Lepisosteus oculatus: one gene and its partners. Each later gene encodes a partner of the first gene's protein in a complex. Links are inferred from orthologs where the notes say so. Each region holds a gene or a part of one and is shown in the gene's direction. Other genes may lie near its edges. The genes, in order: ccdc135, drc1, gas8 and fbxl13.

Region 1 (8,100 bases):
TGACACAGATTCTGATCAGTCAGAGGAAGGCTGGTCTGTTTCTGTTGATGTAGGCAGATGCAGATGCAAAGTAACTTAAGGCACTTGTTTTGAGGTGGAGGTGAAGCTTGGATTGGGATTCACTGGTGGTTTCACCCAGCTGTCTGATCACCAGTGAGGCGTGGTTCAAGAGAAGCCTCCGTGCTTGGATCAATTCTGATCAGAACTGAAGGTGCAATGAGTGGGAAGAGGGACAATGTCTCAGATTTCTGGTTCCTGGTTTTGGGCTCTCTTGAGTGAAGAGGCAGATGAGAGCAGTGGGTGTTTGTTGACAATGAGCCCTTTTCCCCTGACGAAAGGCAACACAAATGGTGAGGTTGGTGGCAACAAAGTGAGAGCTACGACACGACGGTGCTACTGTACCGGATGTTATCTATCCAGCAGTCGATGCCAATGGGCATAAACATGTTGAGATCGATCCAGATGGTGAAGAAGTTCTCCGTCTTCCTGTAGCACAGCCAGTGCACCAGGCTGGGCTTGTCAATCCTGGCTTCCAGCCGGTTTCCCAGGTTTCCTGGCACTGTGCAGTGGTAAGAGGTCACAGGTCAGAATGCTTTACATGCCTCCTTTCAATTTATTCCCCTATTTTTGGAGTGAGTTACTGTAAATGATTCATCGTGATTCTCGTTCCCAGTTTTTCCCTTGTGTCTAACTTTAAAAAAGAATGCAAGGACAGAGGGTGATCACAACTAAAGGAGGTTAACTCCCATCTTATTTGTTGGACTTAAAGTAGAACTGTGTGACTGAGTCTTATCCAGATGTATCCTAGGGAGCCAGTTAGGAGGGACAGGTGGTAAATCTCTGAGCAAAAAAGTATCTTCTACTTTCAGTCTAAATAGGTCCATCATCTACTCTGAACTTCCTTACACAGATTTGTCCAAAAGTGCAACAGTATAGTACAGCATGCTGTATGAGACACCCCTGGCAAGCTGTGCTCACAGCTTATCAGTGCAAATGAAACCTGAACAGTCAAGTGTTAAAAATGCAGGCCGAAACCGGGGTCATGTCCAACTGATAGTATCTCCACTCTGAGAAAAGCTTTGACTACAGGTCTGTATAATAATAGTATCTTCAGAGGCTATTTTAGAAGCTGTTGTATAGTGCAGGATATTTGTTGTGGTGAATGATAAATGAAGTAGAAACAACCAATTCTCAGTCTGAGTTCACTATTCATAGAACACCCACTGGAATCGCAAAGATGCATACGATATTCCCTACTTTTCACAAAACACATGTTCCCAAAACAAAAACCTATTTCTGAAACCTAACAGCAGGCCTTTGTGTCATTATTTAACGCTCCTGACTGCATTAACAAACCAGCTGAAAGAGCACGGCTTTCGGTAGGTTTGAATGCATACTTTCGAAAAATGCTCCTGGAATACAAAAAGGCCGCCACTCCTCCGGAGACCCGGAACCCGACTGCCCTCCCTGACACTCACCTAGGATGAGAGGCGGGGTGCTGTTCGTCTGGGACTCTCTGGGCTCGACGCTGGGAGGAAAGATGACATTGAAGAGCCAGAATCCGGGCGAAGGCCGGGGGAAGACACCCAGAACCAGCAGCAGAAGCAGAGGCGACACAGAGGTGCGGCGGCCCATGATTCTCTCTCTCGCTGCTGCGCTGATGAGCCTCTGCAGCTGTCTTATCAGGGCCAATGGAGAAAAAGGCTGCGAGGGCAGAGTCTCTGGCAGAAGCTCTCCCACGCTGGAAGCCCAGTGTACGCACTCAGCACCCTGTAGGCCAGTGGAATGCTCCAGTCAGATCTCACCACCACCTGAATACTGATGAGACTCCGGCTTTAGACATCGTTGACAAATCACAAGCTTTTTATCTGAGCTCTGGCTAGAGTAAACAATTTCTATGCAATGTTTTACACCGAGGGGCAAGCCTAGCCTTTCAGAGGAGGACAGTGGGCCAAAAAGGAATCACTCTGTGCTAGAAATCTTCTGCCTGGGATGGGCAAGTCCAGACTTTAAGGGTTACAGATGCTTCTCGCAATAATTTGACCTCATCTCTCAATTACTCCTCTCAGCTTTTTTATTTGGTTAAAAAATAAAAAAGTATTTTATTTATTTCAAATAAAACAGGTATTTTATTAGGTATTTTTGGTATTAAATACTTATTTTATACAAGCTGTTATTTTGCTCCATTCTGACATTATTCAATTAACTCTGAATGTTGTTTTAATGCAGTCACTCAGAACAATGCTATCTTGTCTCAAGTTGAAGAAATGCGCTCCAGGTTTACTGGTGAATTACTGGAATATTGAATTGAATATATATGTAACTGCTAATTGTGTGGCCCGGTGGACTTGAATGTGGTAAAGAGCTTGTTGAGTCATTACAATGTGAGTTCAACCTCTTGATCAGAGTGGCCTCCGCTACAGTGTTATAGTCCCTTTCAATCCTGGGGGAGCCAGGGATCCCATTGCCACCATGAGTGGCAGGTTAGGAGGAGCAACAGTGCACTTACCCCAGCAAGACTCAGTTTGAAGGAAGAAGCAGTGTGTGTATTTGGACCCTGTACTTGAACTGTCATCACTTGAGCCTCAATTGCACAGTCCAGACCAGACAAGTGACATAACTCTTACAGTAAGAGACCTATTACACACGGCACCACTGAAGTCCAGCGTCCTGTACGAGAGCCGGGTATCTATGGCTGCACCGCAGGACCAATTGTGTCAACATTGCAGTTCTATTATTGTCTGCAAATTGATGCAATAAGGTGCAAATCCTGAGCCTATGATGAAAATGTTGTTGACTGAAGTGCCAGACAGTGTGAGGACTGTGTCAGAGTTTAGTCATTTGCCTTGAAATCAAATCAAGACTGGCTGATATGTCATCAGCGGCCTTGTTTTGTTACCATTGTTTGTGAAAGGATAGGATATCAAATCCAATCCTCTGCATCTGCTTAAAGATCCCAGCCACTGTTCCTCTGTCGGGTAAGTTACTCAGGCATGAGCAAGCATTGTTTGCAACCAGATACGCTTCTGGAATAGAAAGCTACTGTCTGTTTTGATTTAGCTTGCACTTACAAGTTGTGTCCTATACTGAATCAGAGAAGTTCTTCTACAGGGGAAGTTCCCTAAGAATATGTTTCTTTTCTGTCTGATGGATTGGTGAACAGAAACATTATCTAATTCACCTATGAACTATTGATCCCCTAACCAGCTAAACAGTTGATGTGTACTATATGAACATTGTGAAACATTAACAGCAGTCACACAGAGATTGCAAGTGCAGACCTGTTTTGTAATACAGATGGAAAAAGGTAGAAAGTTCAAATTTCCCCAAAATACAGGCAGCTGCATACTTTCAAACTGTTATCCATTTCAATTCATTGGATTATTCCCTATCTGTAGAAGACAACTTTTTATTTTCATGCAGAACAATAGGTTACTTTAGTAAATATTTGGAAATCTGATGTCTTCGTACCAAATATTTCACTATCTTTATTTGCTGGCAGACACTCGGCACCCAGGGTAATTTGCAATGTAGTTATCCAATGATTACATAGTGTGGAACATTGCAGACTCTGGTAACATTGGTCAAACAACCTTTGCACATAGAACTCTCCAACACTGATGGGACATGAGTGGTCTATGTGGTGATCCTGACTTTGAGAGTTTTAACAAAGTTACAACCGCTAACTGCTTTATCGAGTCCAGGGTGGTGGGGGAGACGGAGCCAATCCCAGCAAGCAACTGGCCCACAGCGTGATACACCCTGGATGAGAGAGACCAGTCCATCACAGAAAAGCACTCCTGTTTAAACCCCACTTCTAGTGAACCATGAATCCCATGTGAGATTGTCTGCGTTCCAGGACAATGATCAAAACTATCAGTTCATATACTGTAGGTGAGACCAGTCCTTTGAAGCAATTCTGGCGACCTCTAGTTGTATGACTGTGTCACTACAGACTTTTCAATGGACAACCTTCGTAAGTGAACTACTCCAGGAGAGTATTTCCCCATTGATTTTATAAGTATGCACATGTGTAGTTGTCCAATCCTCCCGCCTGTTCCTGGGCTCAGTTTTCCTCTGAAGGCGTAAATGTGATACAAAGTGGGTGACTGTTTAATATTCAAGAGAAATCCATCCATCCATTTTCTAACCACTTCAGCCCATACAGGGTCAGAAGGGAGCCGGAGACTATCTCAGCAAACAACAGGCATGAGGCAGGATACACCCTGGACAGGACACCAGTCTATCGCAGGGCACACACGGATACAACCACGCACACAAACACTCTCACCAGGGCCAAATCTTCCCTGAAACCAATTCACCTACCAGCATGTCTTTGGACTGAAGGGGGAAATCAGAGCACCTGGAATTGACCCACACAATCGTAGGGGAGCACAGACTCCACACAGAGAGCACCCCGGGTCCAGAATGGAACCCAGGGCCACAGCAATACGATCCACTGCGCCGACGTGACAACCGAGGGAGCTACATTTGAAACGTATATGGTCTGGTCTGGTCTAGTCTAGTCTGGTTTTTATTTCTGGTGAGAATCTGGTTTCCGGAATCCGCACTCAACAGATCAATGTTTTTAGCATTTAGATTGTTTTCATGAGTTCCCCCCCAAGCAATTGCTGTTTCCAAAAGGTGGGGGTTAATTAATTAATAGAAGATTTCTAGAACTTGAGATCATCAAGTCTTAGAATACTTTCTGCTTTTTAAGGGTCGGGGCTCGGTCAGGTATTTAAGAGCGTAGCCTGTACATGAAGATACAGAAGATAAAAGGAAGATGTGGCCTTATTTTTTTTGTTGTTATTTGGTAATTGTTTTTCACGTGCAAAATCGAAAATGAAACCGTAGGAGTCCTTTAAGATCTATATCTTCAAGTAGCACTAGTCAGATGTAGAAAATGTCCGCGCTTTTCAATAGTTCAAACCAGGAGAAACCCGCAGCTCGTCTCCTCACGCTGCTTACGCAAGGGGCGGGGCCACGGAACAGCGTGATCCAGCGCTGCCGTGGCCATGGAGACGGTCGTAAACGGGACGGTCGTTCAGAGGTACTGTGATGGGGAATGGTGCGATTAATCTTTTATTTCAATATCTACATGTTTAAAAATGAAACAAGGGGTAAAAAACAATCAGTGACAGTAGAATGTACCTGTTGATTATGCGGCTGAGTAAATAAACAATGTGATTTATGAAAACAGGGGTTAGAAGTTTCAGAAACTGTTTATAAACTATAGTTAAACTATCGTATACTAAACCGTAAATAAATTATGAAACCGGATAAACTATTTAGTTTTGTATACTGAACGGAAAATGGTCGAGCTTCCTTAAATATTTAGCAGCTGCAGTAAGGATATATTTACACTGTTCTGTGGCACGACGTAAACTTGTAATTGTTAAATGTATTTAACATAAAATGTCAAGGTGTACTGTGTTACACTGTTTTCTCTTGGTAATTACAGTAGATAATTTAATTCTGTGCCTTCTGTTTCAATAAGCACAAGGCACACAATAAGCACAAGGAATCCTCCTTAACAGGAGGAATCTGATGCCTCCTACTGTATATATTTATAGATATATTTAGGGTAATTCAAATAAAGAATGGATAGAACAATTATATGATTATATGATTATAAAGAATAGTAAAACAAAAATATGATGTAATTGATATTGATAGACATTTTGTTGCCAGCAACTACTGCTATAATATAATAATAATAATAATAATAATAATAATAATAATAATAATAACTGCACGCTGTATTATTGTGCATTTGATAAATAAACTCTGATTGATTGATAGTTCTGTCCCTTTGAAGACAGGGTGAGAGGTGATCCTGTGGAGTTCAGGTTGTCCTCCTCTTTCTCATTTTCAGTCCTGTAAGAAATGGAGACGCTGCCAGAGGAGCAGTTGTCTGAGGCTGGAGAGTGGAAGGGGGAGGAGGAGGCAGGGGATGAAGATCTGAATACAGAGCTGCAGGATCTGGAGGAGACACTGTCCAAAATACACATCACTACCCCTGCCAGCCCGCAGTGAGTACAAACCTCATGTCAACATTACTGTACTTACTTTATTGTCCCAAATGGGAAATTTGCTTTGCAAGCAGGTAACTGACATAACACAGTACGCAATACATTTAACACAACATGGACCCATTCACAAATAAGACATACATGTACCATAAGAAAATAAATATGTATCTAAAAGTAAAATGTACAGTTAATTATCCAAATTGAGCAGGTTAACAGCTGTGGGAGTAAAACAATGACATTGTTCTATTGCTTTTGAATCTGGGTAATCTGGGTCTTGAATCAATGATTGTATCATTGTCATTGCTTGATGTAGAAGTCTGGAAGCTGTAGTTCTAGTTGCCCACAATGAGTAGATATGTCCTTTAGCCCACAGTAAGTACAGCTTTTCATGATGTTTAGTTTTTTCTAGTGGATGCTAGACAGAAGTCTTCTTGAACTTCAAAGATTTCTTCCTGAACTTCAGTGGGCTCCTATGTCTTGTGTTTCACACTGATTGAGCCTTTGACATTCAATATATGGGTGTGCAGTGTGTGCACACAATAATGACTATAATAATAATGACTGACTTGTCCATCTTTTCAGACCAGTGACTAAGTCGTCCATAGATCTCTCTGAATTCCCCTCCTCGTACAAGGAGAACTCCTCCCAGGAGAAGCTGCTGCTGGCCATTGCTGATAATTTCCGCTCTCAATATGCTCACCTGTATCCTGACCGCAAACCTCTGTTCCTGAATCCCCTCAATGAGTGTGGGGTTGAGGTACGTGTGCTAGGCAGGACTTTTGGGTCAGGAAATGGATGAGGTAGAGGAGGTGACTCTTGTACAGAACTTGCAATTGCATGAAAACTGTATTGCTCTTCTACATCTCGTATGGCACAGATATTGATTATGTCCTGCCAGGAGCCTAATTTTGCTCAGTAGCTGCTTAGCCTCAACCAAATCTTCTCACTGTCAGGGTGCAGAACAGCCACAGGTTTGGTGCATCTTTGGGATGGTCAGTAAAAAAACCTGAATGCTACTAAATTACATTAAAACTACAGAACTGTTTGATAGCCTGAGTACAACAGTGAGCAGCAGTTCCCCTCATTGCCACTGGTGCTGAGCACTTGTATAAGCTTTGGATTGTAAGGTTGTCTTCTTGTACTGGGCACTGAGCTTCTTTATTTGTGTAGGATATCAAGGTTGCCTTTTTAAAGAAATGGTGAGTCTTACAAGAGGTTACAAATGAGTGAAGTCTATTCTCTTACTCACTTTTTGTCTCTTGTTCCCTGCACAGAAGTTTGTGAGCACCACGCTGCGCCCAACACTGCTGTCCTACCCTGAACTGTACAGCTGGGGTGGCTGTGCGTGTTTTGTATCTGAGTATCTCTCTGTCGAGCCTCTGGATCCCCCTGTAGATCTGGTAAGTCAAGGCAACAGCACCGAAAAATACAACTAGAATCCGTAGTGGGAGAAAATAGGTCATCTGACCACTATAGCATGGCTGGCTATGTTAATTGTTTTTTATAAATTGTGCCTGTGACGGACTGCATTTGGAATTTGAATGTTTAATCTCGGGTATGACTGCCTACTCTACCAATCTTAATCCTCCTCAGCCCCAGTGCCTTCGTTCTCCTACCTGGGTGCTGAAGTGCCAGCGTGGGACCTGCTTCGAGTTCGCAAACCTGCTATGCTCCCTGCTGCTTGGGGCGGGCTATGATGCATACTGCGTCAGCGGCTACGCAGCGAAGGAGCTCTGTCTGCTGGACCAGACACACCAGCAGTGCCCCCTGCTGGTGAACCAGGAGAAGGTGAGCATTTAGGCAATGGAAAAAAACAGACTTCCCTGCACCTGCTGTGTGTTGGAACTGACTCCTTTTTACAATAATGCAGGCAAATGGGGGTGAGATCATGGATCTATTTAAAAGACTGAAGTCTGCTCTTTGAGAGTAACAAAGAATCAAAGGAAAAGTCTTAGGGAACCTAAGTGGCACCTAAGGTTTCTTAATGCAGAAAAGGCAGTTGCATAATGTAACCTTTTGTCTAAACAATTTTACACAATATGCATCTAACTGTCTTTGAGTAATA
Region 2 (7,111 bases), on another chromosome or scaffold:
ATTGCATTTTGTTTGAACATTACCAGTTCTATATTTGTCAGTGCTTCAGGTTTCTTATGTAATTACTCAATAAAATACATAATTGAAAGGGTGGGAAACTTCTATATGTCATGAGGTAAGAGTTCTTGTTAAAACTGAGACAGTTGAGACTGAGTTATGAAAGCATATGTCTTTGGACACTTATTGCATTAAAAACTGAGAAAAGGGGGCACGTGTTTAACAGAGCAGTTGTAGGAATATGTCACGTGATTGAAGCTGTTACCAAAGAGTGTTTTTCAAGAAATGGCTGGATGAGATCCTTGGACCAATTAAAGCCCAACTACACAACATTCTAGATGGGTGAACGTTTGTAGCCTTTTTCATGTTCTTATGTTTACAAATTTTGTGTAGTCTTTAAAGAGCATAATCTGAGATGATTATGAGGCGAATGTTGGCAGCTCAAAGTCATTATAAGGAAAGGAGAAAAAATTAAAATATTAGAAAAAATACAATTTTCCGGCACATTGAAGGATGTTAAAAATGTATTCCTAGTTTAAATACATATATATTGTGGACATCTGCAGCAATGTTTGTCAAAATTAGAAGTCTTGCTTCTTTTTATGTGTGACTTTACTCTGTTGTATTGATCGCCATCTGCTGGACACTGATGATATGCATTTCACAGTAGCTACTGCTACTAACATTCTTTCTGTACAGACCTGTATCCTATTTATCAAGGCTGCCTCCCTGGACCCTGTAGGTAAATAGATACCCGTGTTGAGTGTGGTCTTCATTTAGCAGTGGCTTGATGATGATGTATGTGAAACGTACATATATTCTCTACAAACACATCAAAAAAACGTATCACTCTGCATGCTTGAGGAGTAATGAAGTCTACATGTTTAGGGTATTGTTTTAACATTTGGTGAAAAGCTATCCCTTTCTTAACCTCTTTCTCCAATACACGTGAAGGAGCTGGAGCCTATCCTGGCAAGCAAGCAACAGGCGCAAGGTGCAATACACCCTGGATGGGAAGCCAGTCCAGCAGTGTACACACAGACACAAACACACTCACACCAGGGCTAATTTGAACTTGAACTTGAACTTTATTGCCATATGTAACCGGTACTGGTACAATGGAATTCTTACTTACAGAAAGTCTCTCGTTTGTAAAACAAGTGTAAAAAACAAAACAAAGTGCAAACAGTGCATCAAGACAATGTACAAACAAACAATAGACAATGTGCAAGTAAACATGCAGACAGTTTGAATGTAAACAATACAGACGTGTAAACAATGACTGGAGACGTACAATAAATAAATTACAATGAGGTAGATGGTGATGGTGTAGGTGTGGTCCGAGGGGGATGGCTAAATGTGTTCGCCAGTCTCACTGCTTGTGGATAGAAGCTATTGAAGAATCTAGTGGTAAGTGACCATATGCTCTTATATCTCTTGCCTGAGGGCAGTGGGGTGAAGAGCTCATGCCCGGGGTGGTGACTGTCCTCTGTGATGGCCAGAATTCTACCACGGCAGCGGTCCTCATAGAGCTGTTTAATCTCGGTGAGACCGCAGCCGATGATCTTCTGGGCCATATTGACAGTTCTCTGCAGTGCCTTTTTTTCTCGCGAAGAGGTGTTGCCATACCACACGGTGATCCCGTTGGTGAGGATGCTCTCGATAGTGCAGCGGTAGAAGTTCACCAACACATGTATTGGCATCCCCCATCGCTTGAGGCACCTCAAGAAATAAAGGCGCTGCTGAGCCTTCTTCATGATAGAGTCAGTGTTCACAGACTCTATCATGAAGAGTCTGTGAATTTTCCTGGAAACCAATTAACCTCCCAGTATATTTTTCTCTTTGGGAGGAAATCAGAGCACCAGAAGGAAACCCACGCAACAGGACCTCAACCACATACCTGATGTTTTTTGCTAGGCTTTGGGTAGGTATTGAAGTGGGGGGTATCGGACCCAAGCTGGATGCCCCATTTTCTGACACATGCCCTGCACTTAATGGGAGAGTTAAAAGATTAAAAAATCCATCCAACTGGCCATGTTCAATGCAGAAAAAACTTGAAGATCTTGTCGCACCTCATAACAATCTGCTGACCCCTGTGAGCATTTTAACAGAAGCCCAAACAAGAAAGATGAGGAAACACACAACCTCTAGGATTCTGTGCAACGTTCACAGAGACTTAGTCTGGAGTTTCTTCACAAGTGCTTACGGGCATGAGCCTTCTTGTACCACAGGTGTCTCACTCCCAGCCCTCGATGTATTAGAATGGGCTGCAGTGAGGATGAGACTGTGACCCATCCCCTGTGGTCCTGCCATTTTGCTAAGACTTTTTGGGCTCAGTTTGAGGACTGGTTACAGGCCCCCTCGCTTCACTTTTCCCTGACCCCTGCCTTCATAATATGCACTATTATGTCAAACGCTACCCTCTGACATGTTTGACAGGATTTGGGCTATAGTGAACAGTGGAAAGGATGTCCTCTTGAAGGGTGAGGAACATGGGGGTGTTCAAAGGCATTGAGGTTCCAGTTAAGGGAGCAGGTAGCCTGGTCATTATTAAAGACAACTATTATCTCAGAGATCTATGGAGTGTAGGGAAGGAGGAAGCAGAAAATCTGTGGATCGTAGGATCATGTCTCATAACCCTGTGATACTGATAATCATGTAAGGAAAAATAGCATTTTTCATGGAAAAAACATCAGCAAATGTGTATGGAATTGATTCAAAGTGACGTGAGATAATGCACCTCAGCAATTATATTTCTGTTGGCTTTGTAATTTTCTCTAGATGTGTGCATATACAGTATACTGTTTTAGGTATATACTGCATAATACTGTACAGTTTTTCCTTTTGTGTTATTCTGTATTTGTGAAAAGAAAATAAAGTTCTTAAGAAACAGAAATGCAAACACAGAGAAATAGCAGATAGCACCCCAGGTCCAGAACCAGTCTCCCGTGCTGTGAGCCAGCAATGCTAACCACTGTGCCACCGTGCCGCACTCTGGTGAAAATCATGAAAGAAAAATACAAAAATTAACCCATAGTCTTACTTTCTCAAGATAACAGCACGATGTGTCATCATTGTTTTGGATGCACTATTGTAGTGTATTCACAACCAGTTCAAAGCCAGTCCGTCAATGATAAGCCCCAGTCTAGGAGACCGTGAGTAACCACACCTTGCTAAGATCATCATACATATCTTAAGGTCTGGGGCTAGAAGCTACTGATCTCCGCATCAGATTAAAGTCACTCTGTTATTAATGTCAAAACTCTGGGACATTGCTTGCTGCTCTTGCTGTTATGACTTATTCCGTAATAGCTAGGCGATACAAAATTTGTCATAATATTCCTGCAGGCTCATCCAGACGTGATTCACTTTCAGCCTGACAGTGCAGGCACTGACAGGTGCTCATGTAACAACAGCTTTCTTGGGAAATGAGAGAATGACAGTTAAACCATAGATGCCCTACCTGTCAAACCTGAGCCCAGCTAAATAATTTTGTGATTAGGATGGGACATCAGTGGCCTCGACAAATTCAATTTACTTGTTAACTCTGCATGCAGACCACTGACAGGTGAACAGACATGCTTGTCCAGGCTCTACAACTGGAAAGTTGGAAAGAATCTCACAAGTCAGCATGGTTAAAAGTATGTGGCAGGGATGTGCAGTGTGTCGTTTCTACACAAACAGCCCCTGACGTTTACAGTACAATAGACCCGTTGATCAAACTCAAATGTTAATCAGCATAATGACTTTACCTGTCATAGCAGCTGCTGCACGAAAGTTCTGATAATAAACTTAAGACGTTTTTACAACGATGTATATATATATATGAATTAGATTGTCAGTACGCTGTATATAAATACATAAAAATAAAGAAATAAAACAGGAAAAAAGTATTTGCTAAAGCAGCCCCACAGAGATTGCATTAAACTCTACTGAAGATGACGTAACAGCAGCAGTATCCTAGCAACAAAGAAAACAACAAAGCTTCCTTGATGTGTCGGTGATACATACTGTAGGATGACGCCTGGCAGATAGTAGCATTGATTAAAAGACATCAGTGGACATTTACTTACACGTTAGTTTGCACTTTTTGAAAAATGAATCAGGCCGAGAATGGAGGGGAAGAGCGAGAGGAAAGTGGACCATCGGTGCAGTCCGAAAACCCGGAGGAGCGAATAGCCGCTCGCCGCCTGCGGATAGCAGCTAGGATTGAGGCGAAGAAACGGTATCCAACAGCCAGAAACAACTCATGTGTTAATGCCTATATCTTGAACTCGCTATGTTTGTTTGTTAAAACTGAATCATGGAGACAATAATGAAATAGTAAAACGCATTCATACCTAAGCACCGCGTGTAGTTGTGACGATTTAGCGAAACATGTCTCGATTCAGTTCCCGAGTTAGACAAATGCTTAAATTAACTTTTGTTATGTCTCGCAGATAATAGACGACTAAACTAAGGCTTAGAAAGTTTTGTATGTTGTTTATGGCGGCACAGAAGCGTGACGCTGCTGGCTAAGAGCACTTGATTTGAGACAGGGGCACCTTCTGTGCGGAGCCTGCATGATCTCCCCAAGGCAATGTGAGAGTTCTCGGGTGACATGCTGGTTAGGGTAATTATCTGTCTGTCCAGGGTGTAGTCGCGCCTTGCATTCTGTGTTTAAGCGATTGGCTCTGAACTCTGGGTGCTCTAAATGGCTTTGAATGCTCTGGGTTTTGTAACCCTCGTAATGAACTCATACTGTTTTTCTTGCATGCTGAACTGTTTTACATTCATGTCAAAATACTCAGAGAAGCTCTAGGAGACAGCAGCCATGAAAAGAAAGATAAGGAAGAAATGAGAAAAAGCCAGAAGCAGGTGGAGCAGAGCTGTAAGGTTGGTGGTACTTATGGATGTCAAATAGTATCGTACATATTAAAAGTCTCTTACAGAATTTATTCCAACTGTAATATGATTTTTATTCCTCAAGACTTGATCAAAAATATGTTTATCAGCAGCACTAAGGTTGTCATCCCTAGTTTTTTTAAATAGATAATAGATCATTATCTAGTCTGAAAGACCCGATTTCCTCAATTTGATCCATGCCAAATTTTAGGCTTCACAAGATGTGTAAATACATGTTGTAATGAAATATAGTAGAGAATTGTGTTGAAAGCTGTTATTATTTGTATTATCGACAGTGCCTTATCTCATTTAGCTGATTCTGATACTCACACTTTGTTTTCGTGTCGTATGGTTTCTTTATACAAATAGATTTTCTACTACAGCTTTAGGCCATGTAGAGCACAGGTGTCTATGACTGAGCCATTGTATTTTATTTCTCACAGAGAATGATTAAACTGCAGGCTGATGGGACAGAGCTGGTCACCAATATTCAGGTAGCAGGAGACTGGAAAGAGTCTCAGAGGAGGACTGAAGAGGAGGAGGCAAGGAGGCAGAGGTACATGAGGAACATAGCTGAGTCCCTCCTTCACAAACACAGCCATTCAGCAGGAAATTACAATACCTTTAAAAGTCTCAGACAAATGGCTTTTTTTAATCTTTCTTTACATGACTCTTTACTCAAATAGCTTCATATTCTGAGAGACAAATCTTCAAATACAATATCTGGAAAATGTTAGGCTACATCTATTATTACAGTAGAAATACTATAAACTTTAGCGGATTCATGAGTTTGACAATACAGGATTCTCAAACAATTTGATGACTTTTGTTTGATTAGATTGTGTTGTAGAAAGACTGTTCAGTAAGCTTTAAAATATCTTTATAATGGTCCATGAATTATTCCTAGTCACTCATTTATTACCTGTAATCATTTATTTTTGTAAATGTAATTGACAAAATGTCAGAAGATTCTCCATTATGATGTGAAAGACCTTCAGAATTGCTATCTGAAGTATACACAAACTATTCCCTCTCAACAGTATACTAGATTATTCTGAAGTTATTTACTACTATGTCACATACTGTATCTAACCCATTCTGCCCTATGAAAGAACAGAGAAGCTGGAAAGTGAAGCCAAGACCAGTTTGGAGAAGTTTGAGGAAATCACAAAGAAGTGGACATCAGCCAGAATGAAGGAGATCCCTCAGGACTTGAGGGAAGCACTCAACATGCAGCAACAGCAATGCGCTCTTCTTATTGAGGAGAAGAACAAGCTCATTACTGACCTACAGCAGGTAAGGAAATCCTGGATGATGGGGATCCATCCTTTTTCTAACCACTTTATCCCACGCAGCGTCATGGGGGACATAAGGACATAATATTAAAAATGTTTTTATCTAAAGTTACAAACCACGTGAGACCCAGCAAAAATAATGAGTACATAATTATGACTATTCTTCCTAAAAATTCCATCTTTGAGTGTGAACCTTAAACTTTCTTGTAGTACTGTTTACTATTTTATGTGTATGGAAATCAACAAAAGGTTTTCTTTCATTTATTTAGATTTTGTTCTTAGAGGAGAGATTGTGGTTTCTTTACACTCAATTTCTAGCTGTTTCCCAGTTATGACACAGAGGTACTGTACAAATATGTTTATTTGAGACTTAACCTATTTCAAAACAAGCCATGCTCTGCCAACAGGAACTGAAAGCAAGTGATGATCGCTACGTTAAAGACTTGAAGAAACAAGCAGAAGACATCGACCTCATGATTGAGAGAATGGAAGAACAGATAAAGAATCTGATGAAATCCTACAGAGAAGAACTGGACCAGATTGAGGTACCGTAGATACATTTCTATTGACATTTCTACCTGACAGTAACAAATGATGCTTAAAAGGCATTGTGGATTTTTGGGAGAGGCAGAAGTTTTATTTACTACTTTCTATTTTGAACTGGACAACCTTGTTAGCTTTATCCCTTCACACATCTTTTAAGTATTTCATGAAATATGGACAGCATGGTAAATGCTTCAAGGATTTCAAGAATGAGTCATGAAAACCCCTATGCGTCTTTCACAAGTGCTGTGTATTTGTGCAGAAAGCCTTTGAACTAGAACGTCGGGAACTTCTAGACAACAACCACAAAAAATGGGAACAGATGATGCAGAGTCGTCGGGACAAGGAGGTAAATGCCATTATTTGCTATTATCTGTGGCACCTTTACATTT
Region 3 (7,830 bases), about 5.1 Mb from region 1:
AAGACACATAGGTGGGACAGCTCAGACTCGGGATCTAAATAAACGCTTCTCATTTCTAAATACCCGAAACATTAAGCTCGGTAACAAATCCTAACAACAAGGCCACCGTACTGATAACGATATTGATATTTGTAACCGTTTGATAGGACGATAAAGCTCTCTTAAGTATCTTGAATACTGCTATATACATAAATAATGGTGCGAGTATAAAGTAATTTGTTTTCCATCCATTTTACATACTGTACTTTACTACTGAATGTATAAGTCTGTTTATGCTGCAGCTCATGGTTTCCTTTCTTCCCTGACAGAATCTGTCACAATATTAAGAGAAGATCTTTTGGGACTAGGAGTTGTAAGCAGCATGGCAATTGTATTATAATTCTCTAACATTCACAAAATTCTTTGAAGGGGCACTATTAAGTAATTCGTATTAATGTGGAAATCCTTGAGACCTTTTTTCTACTGTACTCTTGTGATCTCTACAGTTAACCTATAAAGATAAAGATCTAATGATGGGACTGTTTCCTAGTTTGGAAACGATTGCACATTGTGTCCCTGAGCTGACAACTGAATGTAGCAAACGCTTTGTTTTGGGCGTTTTTGTTTTCTTCTCCGCTGGTCATTTTCATGGTGATCCTGACTTTTGACTCTTCCAGTATTCATATTATTCAAAACGCTCGGGGTCTGCAGCAAGACCTGTGCTTGGAGGGGGTGGGGAGGGGAGGGTGGTTTCTCCCTGGTTCCTCAAGTCTTTGTGTTGACCTGCCTGTCAGAGGAAACAATTTTGTGTGTCAGGCCAGTACTAAGCTTTGTGGTCCCGTCTGTCTGAGCACATGGGACCTCTGCACCATGACACTGGGCTCCTGGTGAGTCGCCCATTTAAATGAGCTGATCCTGAGATCCCGGACCAGCTTACTGGCTCTGCAGTTTTTACAGTGACAGAGATGAATATTCCAGCCAAAACAAAATCAGCACAGAGGAGTCCTAGGCAAAGTAAGACATGTCTTATCTTTCTCTGGCTCTGCAAGACTGTCTTTAGGAGGTAGGCTGTTCTACACAGTGTAATTTTATCTTGTGTTTTTCAGTGTAGTGATGTAGCTTTCAAAGCACGCTAAGACCTCTGCAGAAACACACAAGTGAGCTGCAACATTTACCATTAAAACAGACGGTTTATGCTCTTTTCTTCACAATTGTACACGTGAAGTCCCCGAGAGCCCTACAAGCAGAGCCAGACAGCAGCAGCAAGTTTCTTGTACTGAAAGGAAATGTTTCGGATCGCTCTAAGATCTACCGGTCTGTGAAACTGAAACGCGGTGCACCCACCTGGGGTACCTGCCCCTCCTTGTGCGTCCATCCAGGCAGGTGGTGTGTCCGGGGCTGTCTAAGGCAGCAGCATGAGACAGGAAGAGAGAAAGGGAAGGAGACAGCAAGGCAGAGCGAGGCGCTGGCTGCACTCTCCACGGCATCAGACACCAGCAACACCCTCACCGATCCTCACAGCCGGAGTATCCCCGCAAAATCACCACCCTGGGCATTGCACCAGCACAAACATGTTGCCATGCAAGCAAAGATCACTTTGCAAATTGCAGAGCCACGCTACACTGTAAGCATTGCATTGTAAATGAGCTCGGGAAGGGAGACTGCAGAAAAAAAGCAGAGTGAGAGAGAGAGAGCAGAATGCAAGACACACTGGCGATCATCCAGATCTGGATGGGGGGGGTGGTGGGAGGGGTGTGGAGTGCGAGCTCAGGGTTTTGTGTGTGTAGCACTGAGCCACACCTAAATCAAAGAGGAAATCATCCATCCACTTCCTGTTAGCGTGGAGTAAAGCTATTCATGTAGGGCTGGAAGACACCATCCAATTTGCACAAAACCTAACGCCCGATTCTTCCCATCAAGGTTTAAACCTTAAGTGCTTGCTGTTGAAATGAAAGTTTGATTTTTTCAGATGTTCCCATTTGAAGGTAGCCTGAGGGAAATTCCCCATTATGCATTCAGCTCTTCTGACATGGTTTTTCTCTGCTATAAAATTTTCATAAGAGTTAAACACATGCATGAGATTAGGGCTCTCTGAGTACCCTTTGTTTTTTGAGTGATTCTTCAATAGACAAGTAGTGTTCATTCTTTATTCTTAAAGGCATTCTGTGGAGTTAATATCTTAAATATTGTACACACTGGAAAACAGCAAAAAACTAGCATTGGAACAGAACTGGAATAACACATTCAGAATAATTTTAAATAATTGAAAAGCTTCAGAAATGAAGTCACTGCAACTCAGTCCAATTAAATGCTAGAAAACTTATTCTTTGCTCAACAATACACATACAGCTCATCACGAAGGTGCAGATGTTTGCTAGTAGTATGAACAACTGGTGATACAGTGATATGATGTGGTGTTCTTTTAAAGGGTTAGGGTTAGGGTTAGGGTGTGTATTTTGTGTTCTTTTAAAGAGGTGAAAATGTGCCTGGGTGGGTGTCACTTGTAGGCAATGAAGAAATGAAGGGCATAGAGCAGTGACACCCTGTAAAGTAATCCCACAGGACTCCATTTTCTAACCACCGGCGCAAGGCGGGATATGCCTTGGACAAGAGATGCCAATCCATCACAGATCTCGCTGAATTATTGAATCTACCAGGAAGTGAAATGTACAGTATTTGACTGGATAGTGGACTGGGATTGGACATATCACAGCATGCGATTGCATCACATCCTAAAAATAATTTGTCACCCTCCAGATTGTAATCTCCTGCTCTATGAAAAGAAAAGGTTAGGGGTCCTGTACTGAATAGCTGGTACGATTTGGAGGAGATACTGTGCTCTCATTGTTAAGTGGAGACCTGAAAGAAACACAGCCACCACAGAACATGTACTGTATGTTTACATGGAGTGAAACAGCGTTTGTACTGCGAAAATCAGGGGGTTTGGCTTTGCAGTTTATGATGACCTTTTCTTCTTTCAATTTTTTTCCTACATTTTCTTAACAAAAATAATACCTTTAAAGGAAATACTATGAAAAGTTTCTAAAATTGAACACCTGTGTAAATTGTTTAATACGGGATGTTTTAGAAATATATTTCACATTTAACTGACATTTTGAGGCACACGTATGCTTGGAAAAGCAGAATTATAGTATTATTCTTATATAAATTAACTTCATTTTATGCAATAAATCTGTAAAGCTCACCATCTGGGGCCCACATAGTCATAAAGGTATAACGAATGTGCTCTTAATTCACTGGGAAAGTGAATAAAATACAAATGAAATCTGAAATGCATGCTGGCTATTTGTCACTCATATTATCATATTATTCGTAGAAAAAAATAATGCTAATACGGATTTTCTTTTAAATTCTATGTGAAAATAGGCTAAAGAGTCTGGACATATGTTAATTTTGGGAAATGTGAATGGAGGAGCTGGAAATATCTGACATTTCTCTTATCAAAATTAGATTTTCATTGGATTTCTGGGGCACTGTCAGGACAGCTACATCACTGAAATCACTGGGATTACATTTTATTATCTTGCTGTGGTTTTAGTTAATAACTCGATGTCTAAGGCAGCCCAATCTCCTCTTTTATCTGTTTACCCTTTAAATGAAAGCCAAGGTTGATGTTTATTTTCGTACAGGATTATGGATAAAGAAATATGTTTATGTATTTATCTTTAATAAATACATGAAATATTTTCACATTGGTTGACTGTAGTACACGTACTGTAGATATCTAAAAGTTTTTCATCTTCATTTGAACGTACTTGTCTTTTGAAGCCATCTTTATTTACAAGCTGTCGTTAACATTGTCTTTCCTACTATTGTCCTAATTTTCTCAGCCTGCTGATTATAGAAGTACTTGTGTATGCACCATTTCTTTCACAGATTAATGCCTTTGATGGGTAGCCAGAGGAAAAATTAGGATTTAATCAAGACACATTTCCTTCCATCTTTCAGTTTAGGGCTGAGGGGAACAGAACCCTATCCCAGCAATCCGTCACAGTGCACACTAACACTCACACCATGGCCAATTAGCCTACAAGGGTGTCTTTGGACTGGGGGAAGAAACCAGGGCACCTGGAGGAAACGCATGCGAACACAGGGAGACGAGACAAGCTCCATGCATATATACCCCAGGAGCTGAACTCAGGGACCCAGCGCTGCAAGGTAGCACAGTCTAACCACTGTGTCACTGCACCATCCCATCAAGTAAAAATGGAAAAAGATTACTTCAGATACTTTTTATTTTTTCCATTCATAGGGACCTGCTGTTTTGTCAGGCCACACTTGGTACCTAAGCGGCAATATCAAATTAATGGAGACTTCTGTCTTCTCACTTCATCATCTATTACTGAAACAGACCTATTTGAACGAATCATGTCTTCTAAACGTGTCTTATCTGTTGTCTGCCGCAGACAACATTCCTCATTTTTGTGCCAGCATAAAAATGCTGAATTTATTTGTGTTGATTCGCATAACAAACCTTTAACGAGGTACAGTGGAGACGACTACAGTATTTGTCCTTCATTCACATGTACTGTATGCAAATCGATTTCATCTCCATATTTTGTTTATTGGCGTTGCCAGGAAACGCGCGTTTCCTGCTCCGTGTCCTTCTCGCGAGAGCACGGCCGTTGCCAGGAGACCGCTGTGTTGCTCTGTAGGCCGATGCTGCAAATCGCGACAGCAGCTCTGCTAGAACAGCAAAATATTTTCACCCCTGCCTTTTACTCAGAATCAATAGTTTCTTGAAAATGGTAAGTCTGCATGTATTTTACTTTTATTTTTACTTACGGTAGCTTTGGAAACATGATTTATGAGGATCACCTTGGGGTTGACGATCGTCGCTGTGAAAACTAAGCGTCCAAGTGAATTGATTTTATGCGTAATAATGCAGTCGAATAGTTTAAGATGCTTTTGTTAAACAACTCAGCTTTTGGACAGACGTGACGTCGTGCTACTGTGTGTGTATTGTGTGTTGTGTGTGTGTGCTGTGTGTATTTTGTGTTTTGCTCTGTGGGGTGTGTGTTGTGTGTTGTGTTGTGTGGTGTGTGTGTGGTGTTGTGGACGCTGCTGCTGTTGATCTTGAGTTCTGAGGACTCAGTAGTAAATCTGATAGGAGGTTTTAAAAGGCTGAGGCGCGTCTCTTATTCCCAGCCTCCCAAGAAGAAGAAAGGAGGGAAGAAGGGGTCGGCCAAGGGGAAGAGCCCCACTGTGGTGGACGGGATTTCCACGGAGGAAATGTCCAAGGAGCAGGTGAGCTGTGGCGATATACTCGTGCGCTGTCGCGACGTGTTGTATTATGTTTCAGAATGTTTAAAAGAAAGGCACATGTGACATTAAATTGCCAAATAAAACATCGTATAGAAAGTAATATAATAAATAATCATACTAAATAGTAATAAAGAAAAAAATAAACGACCATAAACACGTGTGTAAAGACAGACAGACAGTGTCAGGCAGACACAGACAGTGGTAAAAAGGTGAGTTTTGACTTTGCATTTGAGGAGAGTCCAAGATTTTGTCCCTGGCAGAGTCTGAGAAGCACGTTCCCTGTCACTGCTACACCTGTGCAAGCGTCCACTCGCTCTGTTTCCAGCCCCAAGGCTCGGCTCACCTCCAAGTCTGTGGCTACTTGTGTGCAGCTGGAGGAGCACATTGTCCGCCTGCGAGAGGAGCTGGACCGGGAGAGGGAGGAGCGCAACTACTTCCAGCTGGAGAGGGACAAGATCCACACCTTCTGGGACATCACCAAGCGCCAGCTGGAGGAGAAGAAGGCGGAGCTGAGGAACAAGGACCGGGAGATGGAGGACTCCGAGGAGCGGCACCAAGTAGAAATCAAGGTTAGGAGGGCTGTCTGCTCTGTTTGGCTTGCTAATATTTTTTTTCCCCTACCAATATTGAACAAACATGACTTAAGGTAAGAACATACTGTAAGAAAGGACAACTGAGAGGAGGTCTTTCAGCCCATCTGGTCTGTTTGGTAGTCAGTAGCTAATTGATCCCAGGGTCTCATCCAGCTGTTTCTTGAAAGAAGCCGGAGCATCGGCTTCAACAACATGGCCGGGCAGCTTGTTTCACACTCCCACCACTCTTTGGGTAAAGAAGGGGCTCCTGTTCTCATTTCTAAATGCACTTCCGTCCGTTTCCTCTGGTTCATGTATCGGTGCTCTATCTGAAGACGGTCGCTGGGTTAAGGGCATCAAACCTGTGCTGAGTTTGAACACCTGGGTCAGGTCTCCCCGAGAAGGGTTCTGGTCCTTCAGCCTGCGTGGGACGTTCCCTTGAGCCCTGAGCTCCCTCAACCAAGGAGTGCACTTCATAATGGGATGAAATAGAGCTGGTAAAGAGTGTTGAGGGCTTTTAGTGGTTACATGTCGTCCACTAAGGGCAGATTTGTCGTTTTATGAAGGTTTACAGAGTATCACTGGTATGATTGTTGGCCTCGGTTTTCTGTGAGGATCGTTATTTGTGCCCAGTTTCTGTCATAGTCCATAAAGGCCTAGAAGAGGGCTTCCAATCCAAAATCATTGCTGAAATTTTACATTGTGCATTAAATGATTTTCTTTTTTTATGAACATCTATGTCTCTAAGCAAAATGCTCAGAGTGTATTATAGCCCTGATGACTTCAAGATGCAATCATAATAACCTTACAATTTTCCTTAACATTGAAGAGAATGGTGGGTGCCTGTAAAAAAATAATAGGTTACCTGAATAATTAATAACAATAATTCAGTTAAAAAATACTTCATTCATCCCCAGGGGAGTAATTAATATAATTTCACTCTGATTACTTTTCATGTGGTTATTGTTTCAGAACTCGTTTGCATTGATAGTAGTCCTTTTTGTGCTGCTGCAGAATATTGTGGATTGTTTCGGCAGGTGTACAAACAGAAGGTGAAGCACCTGCTGTACGAACATCAGAACAGCACCTCCGAGCTGAAGGCGGAAGGGGTCATCTCTGCGAAGCTGATGCAGAAGGAGCAGAGCGAGAAGGAGGACGAGCTGCGGAAGGGTATGCGCACGCTCAAGGTGGATATAAAAGAGCAGGAACTCGCCAATGAGAATTTGGTCAAGAGCTTGAAACTGGTATGTGGACATTTTTTTAAATGTATTTAAAAATATATATCATATATATGTTTGTATATATATTTCATTTTAATTGTCCTCTGTGTTTAACTGGAAGATCGAGTCTTAATTTAAGCTTTTTTCTCCACTTACAACCTGAATAGAAACACGATGAAGAAATTTCCAAACTGAGGAATGATTTTGAAAGACAAGTGCGAGGTACAACTTCCTTTTCAATAATGCCATTTCCCTTCTACAAGTTAAGAGGCCAATAGATATGAGTAATAAACTGGGATTTGTGTTTGTCTATTTGTATTTTACTGTTTCGCTTGTAGTCTTGATATATAGCTCCACCTAGTGATGTAGATCTGTAACAGTCAGAATATTGCTGTGTGTTTTCATATTCGCTGTTGGACAGAGACTTACTGCCTTTGTGCTGAAACACGAGACAGAGACAGCTCTGAATTCATTGTCTCTGACTAATGTATTTCATTAGATGATAAATGAGAATGTCATTGTTTGCCATTCTCTGCATCTTGAATGAAAAACAAAATAAAATACTCTTTGCTGGAGTTTACAACCCTCGTCAGGAAAAGCAGAGTAAAAATGGATGGATGGTTAAAGAAATAGCTTATGTGCTCCGAATGTAGATGTTGCCTTCATTATTTTTTCCCTTGATACATAGTCTAAAATTCTTTAATATTCATTTAATATTCTGTGTATGGCAAACCGATAACTTGCTAGTTAGATGTCTGTGATGGGTACTTTCA
Region 4 (7,579 bases), on another chromosome or scaffold:
ATAACACTTCCTGATTGGCCTGCACCTTCATCGCCATAAAAACCCGCCTTCACAGACGTCACCATTGACGTACTCTTACCATGTGCCTAGTTTTAATCCTTCTAAGAAAGGCACACATCACAGTCAGTTGTTATAATGCAAAACTTTAAGCAAGGCTTGACTGTTCCGCTTTTCCTCTTCAACAAACCATATAAACAACCTTTAGCTTTATGTTACTAAAAAAGTAGCTCAATAAATACATCTCATAACAGATTTCAGGTGTTGAGTGTGACATATTTATGTGCTGGTGTCATAACCACACCAAGAATACGGTATTATTTAAACACTTTTTTCTTACTCCTTTGATTTCTTCCTCACCACTAAAGAATGGAAAGGCATACCTGTAATCCTTCATTGCCTACAACCAACAGCGAAAGAAAGAGAGTAATCGAGTTCCTCATCATGTGGTGGTAGTCGTTTGTGACCGATAGGTTAGTCAACAGTCTTAATGCAGCCAGCTGTATATCTGAATTCACAGCAGAAATCTCAATCATTTCCAGTACCTTTGGAATATATTCCTATAGGGAAAATCCAAATGTAACTGTCAGGTAGAATATACATTAAGACAAAAAGCGATAGACAATACAACCCATTCATATCTAATGCACAGCTTGTATAAACATGAAATCAGGTGAAATTACAAAGGTTCAAGCACTTCTGTAGCAGTGTATTAGAATTTTCTAATACTTGATCATTGAAAGATTTCATTTAAGCTCTATGAAATAGATGACTATCATTAATTTATCCACTATGACTTACAGCATCAATAAGACTTCAGAAATAAAATAATAATGATAATGAAATAAAATCTTTATAAAGAAAAGACAGAAAAGCTGAAAGATGGAATAGTGAGGCGCTCAGACTAGATTAGACTCCCTGAGCAGCGGCAGCTTTGTGAATCATAGTAGACGTACCTTCAGTTGTTCCTGGTTTTTGGCATTCATGCTCAAGTTGTTCAGAGCATTTAAGGCCTGGACTCGGATGCCAAACACAGGATCTGACAAGAGGTTTCCTATGATTTTAAGGCCGCCCGTTTCACGAATAAAGTCCTGCAGTCGGAAAAAACATACAATCTTTATCCATTCTCCAGGATGACTACTTCACCACAAAAGCACTTCTGACAACCATTACTGTATATAAGATGAACGAGAACAAAGATTCTCCTCTGAATACATGAAACCGCAACATTTTTCCTTAAAAAAACTCTTGGTAGTGCTGATTGCTGAAGAATGTTCCCTGTGAAATCGTCTGCCTTCTTCCTTGTGGATTAAGACTAGGAGAAAGAGTTCAGCATGAGCATGAAACCAGACATTCATTGGACCTGGAAGACACTCAATGTTTTGCACTTGCGATATTCAACTCCCTTATTTATTCCACTGCTGTGCTTTTTTTAAACCACACACTATCTACCCGAGAGGTGTCTATTCCTGGTCCCGGAGGGTGGGTGTGTCTGCAGGTTTCCTAGGTCTCTTCAAAGCAGCGGCACCCGAAAGGTGAGAAGCTGTGAAAGTTGTCCAGTTAGGTCAGCAACCAGCTGGTTCAGCTCAATAAGAGCCGAGCTGGAATGTAAACCTGCAAACACAAAGGTCCAGCAGGATCTAGACTGGACAGCCCAGATCTGCTCTGTATACGATATGCACTTATTTGTATTGTGCTGTTTTGTGACGTTAAAAGACTTCTCCTTCTGGAGCTGCATTGTAATTACCACACTGCTAAGTACCAGCAGTTTACCTTTCCTGCAGGCACTATATTTCTGACAATATATTGTAAGTTTGTGATTAAATATATAATCTACAGGTATGTGTTATTAAGCAGCTATAGTGTTTAGCAATTTAGTGTCTTGGGTGGATAAGTCTCTGGGCTCTTAACAGGTGGATTGTGTCCCTACTGCAGATGCTGGTGTTGTACCTTAAGGGAAGCACTTTATCCCAGTTGCTTCAGTTCTCCCAGCTGTATGAATGGGGACCAGTACTGTGGGGCGGGAATCCCTGTAATGGACTGGTGACCTGTCCAGGAGAGTCACATGCTCTCTTGTCCACTTAACACCATGGAAACCAGGATAAGCAGACCCAGTGACCCAGTGTTGCTGGGCTATGGAAATTATCTGCCTTTATAGTGAGTTAATTGTAAGATGCCCTTGAGCATAAAATACAAATGATCCCTGATCCTCTGGCCTCAGGAATCACTCAGTATTCCGGAGGCCTATAGCCTGAATTAATTTACGTGTGGTACCTGGTTCACAGAGAAGGCTGCACTGTTGCCCAGAGTGACAAGTATTTGCATTCTTTCAGATGTGTCAGGATTACTCTGCAGCAGGGAAAGAAGCATCTCTAGATGCTGTGGGTCCAGCTTTCCAGGAGTTTTTGAGAGTATTTCACCTGCAAATTAAAAGCACAGGTAAAACAGCAAGTTAGAAATGCGCTTTAAATTCTTGGGAAATATTTGGCAGATCTAAATACCTCTATTAATGCCAGGGAGGATAAAAAGACCATCACCGCACTGGAGTTTCATCCTTTACAAACTTTACAGTAATCAAGAGTCAGAAGTCCAAATATTTAATTTTAGATCCAGTGGTCTGTTCATGCACATTTATTCAAAAGAAAGTAAAGTGTGTGGAGTATCCAGCACCTAGTACTGGCTATACACAAGAGCTTAAGGAACTTCAAAATTAACAGGTGAATAGAATACATCTGTTTTTTTTTGAGAGGATATGGTTGTTTTTTTAAAATATTTTTGTGATTTCCACTAAGGACAGACATCCTTATGATCTGCTCTTGATGTAGCTTTCTCATTTACACTACACTTTCTACACTACCAAAAACTTGTATTATCATTATTGTATTGTATCTACAAGTAGTTTAAGTAAAGAAACAGCCGGTCAGAAGGTTTTAATTCTGAACATGTGCACTTATGCTATTTGTTTTTCTGGTTTTTCCATTTTCTATATATTAAACCGCATCTTTGTACTGTTGAGAAACTGCACATGATTCAGAATCACATACAGTGTGTGGTCACATTGTTAGGTACATCTACCCAATAGCACGTTGGTCTTCCATCTCCCCTTAAACTGCCCGGACTTGTTGGGGCTTGGACTCAACAAGGTGCAAAAAGTGCTGCACAGGGATACAGGCCCATGTCGACTCCAAATGTGTCACATAGTTGTTGCAACTGCAAATTAGCTGGTGATGGATCTCTACTTCGGATAACTCTGTCCATTATCCCACAGGTGCTTGACTGGACTGAAATCTAGTGACTTAGGAGGCATTACATTAAACTGAATTCCCGTGTTCAGTGTCACTTAAGTCTTTTGTCTTGCCCACTCTCCCTCTGAATCGCACACACGCGACCCGGAGATACTGTACCTGACTACGTGCTTTAAATAGCATCGTCTGCACGATGATGTCTCTGATTAAGCCCTCAAGTACATGGGAAGGGATATGTACAGTACCTAATAAACTGGCCGCTCAGCGTATGTCACTACGAACTTTGCACAATGTGAGAGCATCACTTCAAGCTCAGCATTAATCACTCTGACTGTACCACTAAGTCGGTAATACTACATTCATTATTTCAGTGCGGTTCCAGTATAAACATGCTCACACTTCGGTATGTAATATATTCAATAATTCACATAACCACGTGAGCTGCCCAGAGAATTGTCCTGTTTCATCTGTAAAATGGTGTCAGCAACAATCTTTAGCGCCAGAGAGTTTATTTTACTTTGTGATCCATTTGAGGAAATAACAACAACAGGACACGAAAGAGTACAGAGCAGGTGCACGTAGACTTGTTTAGTAAGAGACAGACTTACGCGATGAACCATCGCCTGTACGAACATCTCTCCCACGAATCGAAGAAAACTCGAACACTTTTTCCAGCAAACTCCCAGGCAAAACCGCTTTCGTGGATTCATCTTTTCCTGAGCAATGTTCATTTACAACATCGATATTTCGGGATTGATTAGCTCGATTCCTACTTGCAGTCACTAGTTTGTAAATCCCGTAAGTGGCTCCAGCCCCGGCCAGTAACCCCAGCAACACCTTCATTTTACACGGGCTGGGAGCCACACTGGCACCGTCAGCCATCGTGGACTCGAGATCTGACTCATAAGAGCACAAAGTTGATCAAATACTTATTTATATGGTAAGCTTCAGCAAAACAAACAATTTCCGAACAGCATGTTGACAGTTCAGTTGCGACATGACTCTAATCAAACAGAAGGGTGAACGAACGTTTTCACGGGGTTTTTCTAACTGAATCTCTCGGATTCTGAATTGTTCATCTTGAAATACTGTATGAAGTGGATTATTCAAATTGGTATTTTTAGAGCCTAGTAATCGACTATGTCGTAAATATAATAATTAAAACGAAAGAGTATCAATATACTGTATGGTAATTCCACGTGCATTAACTGAAGCTCATAAGCAGCGTGTTAAAGGCTCCCATCAAGGAGTTCCAGACACGGGGATTATTTTCGTTTGGCCAGCGGCGTGGCCAGAGCCAATTTAGTTACTTAGTGACTGTAAACAGACTTGAGTTTTCAAGAGGGAGTTTAGAAAATACGAAAAACTTGTAGTATCGTACGTTTTGAAAGAGAGAAATGGATAATTTGCAACAAGCAGATCCGGTCTTGAGAAAATACATCATGCAACACTCACTTCCTGAGATCTATAAAGTAGGGTTGACGTTTCTGTGTTTTCCAGTATAGACTTTTATTACAATTATTTTACTGAATAACACGCTGTACTGACATCCATAAGGGGTACCTTCCATGGTCTTTAGCTTTGCAAAACGTAATGGAATTTACTTATCATTAAGCTTTCAGCGTTCGAGAGACAACACTTGTATAATATAATACATTAAACATGTTTAATATATAATTATATAGAATGTATTTAAAAAGTTAAATTAATCTGGTGTGCATCACAAAATTGTAATTTCTTATTACTAGCTTCATGGCAACAATTGGATATATCTACCTACTCCAGTACTTTTCTGGAATTCCTGTTCCCTTGATCTAATTAATACACCAGTGAAGTGCGAACAAGGATCCACTGCCGAGAGTATCCAAGAATAAAGTCAATATGTATAGACAGTTACATCTCCACTAAGGCAGAGAACACACCAGGCACTCTTTACTGCACAGGTTTCACTTATTCTGGCTTTATCATAGTACATAAAATACTGGCGTGGAAAATTGCAAAGTACTGTAGTCTGGCAAACACGAAAGGTGTGGCATTCAATTGCATATATGTAATCGGTAATGACATTTCACCAGGCATGATGAATTGCTTCCATTTTAACGTGATAAACTGTATATTTTCTATATTTGTATATTGCATTGTTAAGCGCCTTGGGGAAACCTTGTTGTGAAAGGCGCTATATAAAAGTTAACTGAATTGAATAGAATATATATTTGACGATTTTTAGGTGTGAATCAAGCGAAAAGGGTAGAAACACTACTCTGATTTGTAACCTGTATTAGGTTTATGTATTGCTTTGTCCTAAGGTGCGTTTTCTCTAAATTTTCATGATAATGGAAGTGATATATATATATATTTTTTATCGACAGGCGTTGTTATCCGGGTTATGTGTTGTGTGCCCTGCAAACCCGTTACAGTTCTTGGAAGAGAAAATCAAAGAGTTTCAGGAAAATGGGAACTGGTAGGTAAATTTGGAATAGATGGGACATTTTATTCAATGGAATGGTTTAGGACAAATCTGGAAGAATCCTTACAGAGTGGCATACTGTACTGTACATGTGAGCGCCGTTACCCCATCAGGCCGATGTATGCGCAGTGAAAGCCCTGCCTGTTTGTGACGGGGATCAATACCAGTTCCAAGTGGACATTTCTTGGGAGTTTTGATTAAACCAAAGAACGCACAACTGACGTCTAATTAAGCTCTGAGAGTTTTGTTGATCCCATTAACTATAGGTAAGGTCAAAAAAGGTTTTACCTGTGTCCATGTCATCAAATAATTAGTTAAATAAAGTGTTTAAGAGTAGAGATGGTAAAATATCCTCAATGGCTGTATTTGAACAATCCCTGAGATTAGAAGATAAACTGCGTATAAAGAAGGTTATAGAAATTCCACTAGAGGGCACCGTTCTCACCTTAATTGTTAAAGCAGCATCTGTAGCGTTAGACGTGCCCTTAAGATTATTGTAAAACAGCCTATAGGACATATAAACACTTTACACATATCACGTAGTGAAAGAACGTTAGAAACGAGATGATTTTCCTCCGGCCCTGTTATAATTTCGCCATGCAGTCTATTCACCATACCCAGTATAATTTTACCATACACCACAATGCAGTGTTGCATAATATTTCAGCTGTGTGTCTAAAGATTCCTTATAGCTTTGCTCAGTCTATAAAGGGAGCAAACACATGTACTGTTCTCTTTTAGAGGCATGAGAGTATGCTTCATCAGCGACAGGTTTACAATATATAATAACTTTATTTACAGTAAGATAAATTAAATCTGCATTTTGAAATAAATTGACTGTAGTATTCTGAAATAACAAATACTGATGTCTATATTTAGTCTTTGTGTGGAACCTTCTAGGACTGGCAAGACTCCCAAAAATATTTGAATTACACTGTCAAAGGTGCCCAGGAAATAAAATATTGTTTTTGGTCTCTTGTTCAACATGCTGGCTTTCATCAACCGGCTCTTCAAAATGGGTTCTGTGGTCAGTCCTTTTTTATTTCTAAAGTTTAATCTTTGTTAATGGGTTCCATCTCAGGTCACATTATTGATATAAGACTGTAACATAAATTCCCACTGTGAACAGGACATACACTGCTATGAAACACTGAGTTGCTCCCTGAAAGATCATTCTACAGTGGTGGGGGACTGTTTCACAAAGTGAGATTACTTGGTTTAATTTGGTGAATTTAGTAAACCTTTTAACAAAAGTCTGGATTTTTAGTTTCATGAAACAAGACTGAATTGTATCTGGTTAAGTAACTATAGCAACATATCCTCTACTCTTAACCGGCTCCAGGGCAGGTTAATTCAAATATAGTGACAGTATGTCATGTAATAAGTAAAGTGGTGTATGCATTTGTTTGCATTTCTTGACAATATAAACCATCAAACGGGGGTTTCTTGAAATACAGATCTAGTATATACAGTATCTGGTAATATTCTTTTTTATGTATAATAAAAAAGGTGTTCTGGACTGCAAAGTCATCCTCATTAAAGCCCCCATATAGTCAAATGAGGCTCTTTTTAAAAGAGAATCTATTCACAGCATCAACTTACAGATAATAAAATTGTAGTGTGAAAATATGAACATTGATCACTCAAAAGCCAAAACTATAAAAACTTTATATCACTTTATAACTTTATAACTTTATATCAAAAGATGTTTTAAACATGTCTGCCTACAATGGGTGTTACGTACTGTAGACTTTCCATCATGTAAGTTTCCACCATCACATTGTTTCCTATGTTATCAAATGATCTGTGATGCATAGTGTTGCATCAGCAACATTTACATGACTCTGTCCAGGGGTTTCTCCAGGCAGGG

The links.
Region 2: ccdc135 (region 1) and drc1 share a complex: the UniProt entries of both Homo sapiens proteins name them as parts of the nexin-dynein regulatory complex. The link is inferred for Lepisosteus oculatus from reciprocal best matches to the Homo sapiens genes DRC7 and DRC1.
Region 3: ccdc135 (region 1) and gas8 share a complex: the UniProt entries of both Homo sapiens proteins name them as parts of the nexin-dynein regulatory complex. The link is inferred for Lepisosteus oculatus from reciprocal best matches to the Homo sapiens genes DRC7 and DRC4.
Region 4: ccdc135 (region 1) and fbxl13 share a complex: the UniProt entries of both Homo sapiens proteins name them as parts of the nexin-dynein regulatory complex. The link is inferred for Lepisosteus oculatus from reciprocal best matches to the Homo sapiens genes DRC7 and FBXL13.

Annotation. Positions count from the first base shown.
Region 1 is NC_090715.1:11,489,272-11,497,371, forward strand, and holds the start of ccdc135 (dynein regulatory complex subunit 7), read left to right. Parts: upstream 1-4,995; 5' UTR 4,996-5,053; exon of another isoform or gene 5,054-5,071; intron 5,072-5,878; 5' UTR 5,879-5,889; coding exon 5,890-6,035; intron 6,036-6,617; coding exon 6,618-6,792; intron 6,793-7,309; coding exon 7,310-7,435; intron 7,436-7,628; coding exon 7,629-7,823; intron 7,824-8,100. Other genes in the region: lcat (phosphatidylcholine-sterol acyltransferase), read right to left, coding at 403-559, 1,479-1,635. UniProt on the Homo sapiens protein: Component of the nexin-dynein regulatory complex (N-DRC) a key regulator of ciliary/flagellar motility which maintains the alignment and integrity of the distal axoneme and regulates microtubule sliding in motile axonemes.
Region 2 is NC_090697.1:51,220,991-51,228,101, reverse strand, and holds the start of drc1 (dynein regulatory complex protein 1), read left to right. Parts: upstream 1-3,957; 5' UTR 3,958-4,094; coding exon 4,095-4,222; intron 4,223-4,787; coding exon 4,788-4,872; intron 4,873-5,324; coding exon 5,325-5,437; intron 5,438-5,993; coding exon 5,994-6,177; intron 6,178-6,583; coding exon 6,584-6,721; intron 6,722-6,981; coding exon 6,982-7,068; intron 7,069-7,111. UniProt on the Homo sapiens protein: Component of the nexin-dynein regulatory complex (N-DRC) a key regulator of ciliary/flagellar motility which maintains the alignment and integrity of the distal axoneme and regulates microtubule sliding in motile axonemes.
Region 3 is NC_090715.1:16,578,395-16,586,224, forward strand, and holds the start of gas8 (dynein regulatory complex subunit 4), read left to right. Parts: upstream 1-4,629; 5' UTR 4,630-4,745; coding exon 4,746-4,748; intron 4,749-5,148; coding exon 5,149-5,247; intron 5,248-5,590; exon of another isoform or gene 5,591-5,636; coding exon 5,637-5,834; intron 5,835-6,874; coding exon 6,875-7,081; intron 7,082-7,224; coding exon 7,225-7,279; intron 7,280-7,830. Other genes in the region: dbndd1 (dysbindin domain-containing protein 1), read right to left, coding at 1,324-1,354. UniProt on the Homo sapiens protein: Component of the nexin-dynein regulatory complex (N-DRC), a key regulator of ciliary/flagellar motility which maintains the alignment and integrity of the distal axoneme and regulates microtubule sliding in motile axonemes.
Region 4 is NC_090702.1:33,828,518-33,836,096, forward strand, and holds the start of fbxl13 (F-box and leucine-rich repeat protein 13), read left to right. Parts: upstream 1-4,571; 5' UTR 4,572-4,639; coding exon 4,640-4,714; intron 4,715-5,611; coding exon 5,612-5,703; intron 5,704-7,579. Other genes in the region: armc10 (armadillo repeat-containing protein 10), read right to left, coding at 381-557, 954-1,088, 2,272-2,417, 3,851-4,124. UniProt on the Homo sapiens protein: Substrate-recognition component of the SCF (SKP1-CUL1-F-box protein)-type E3 ubiquitin ligase complex.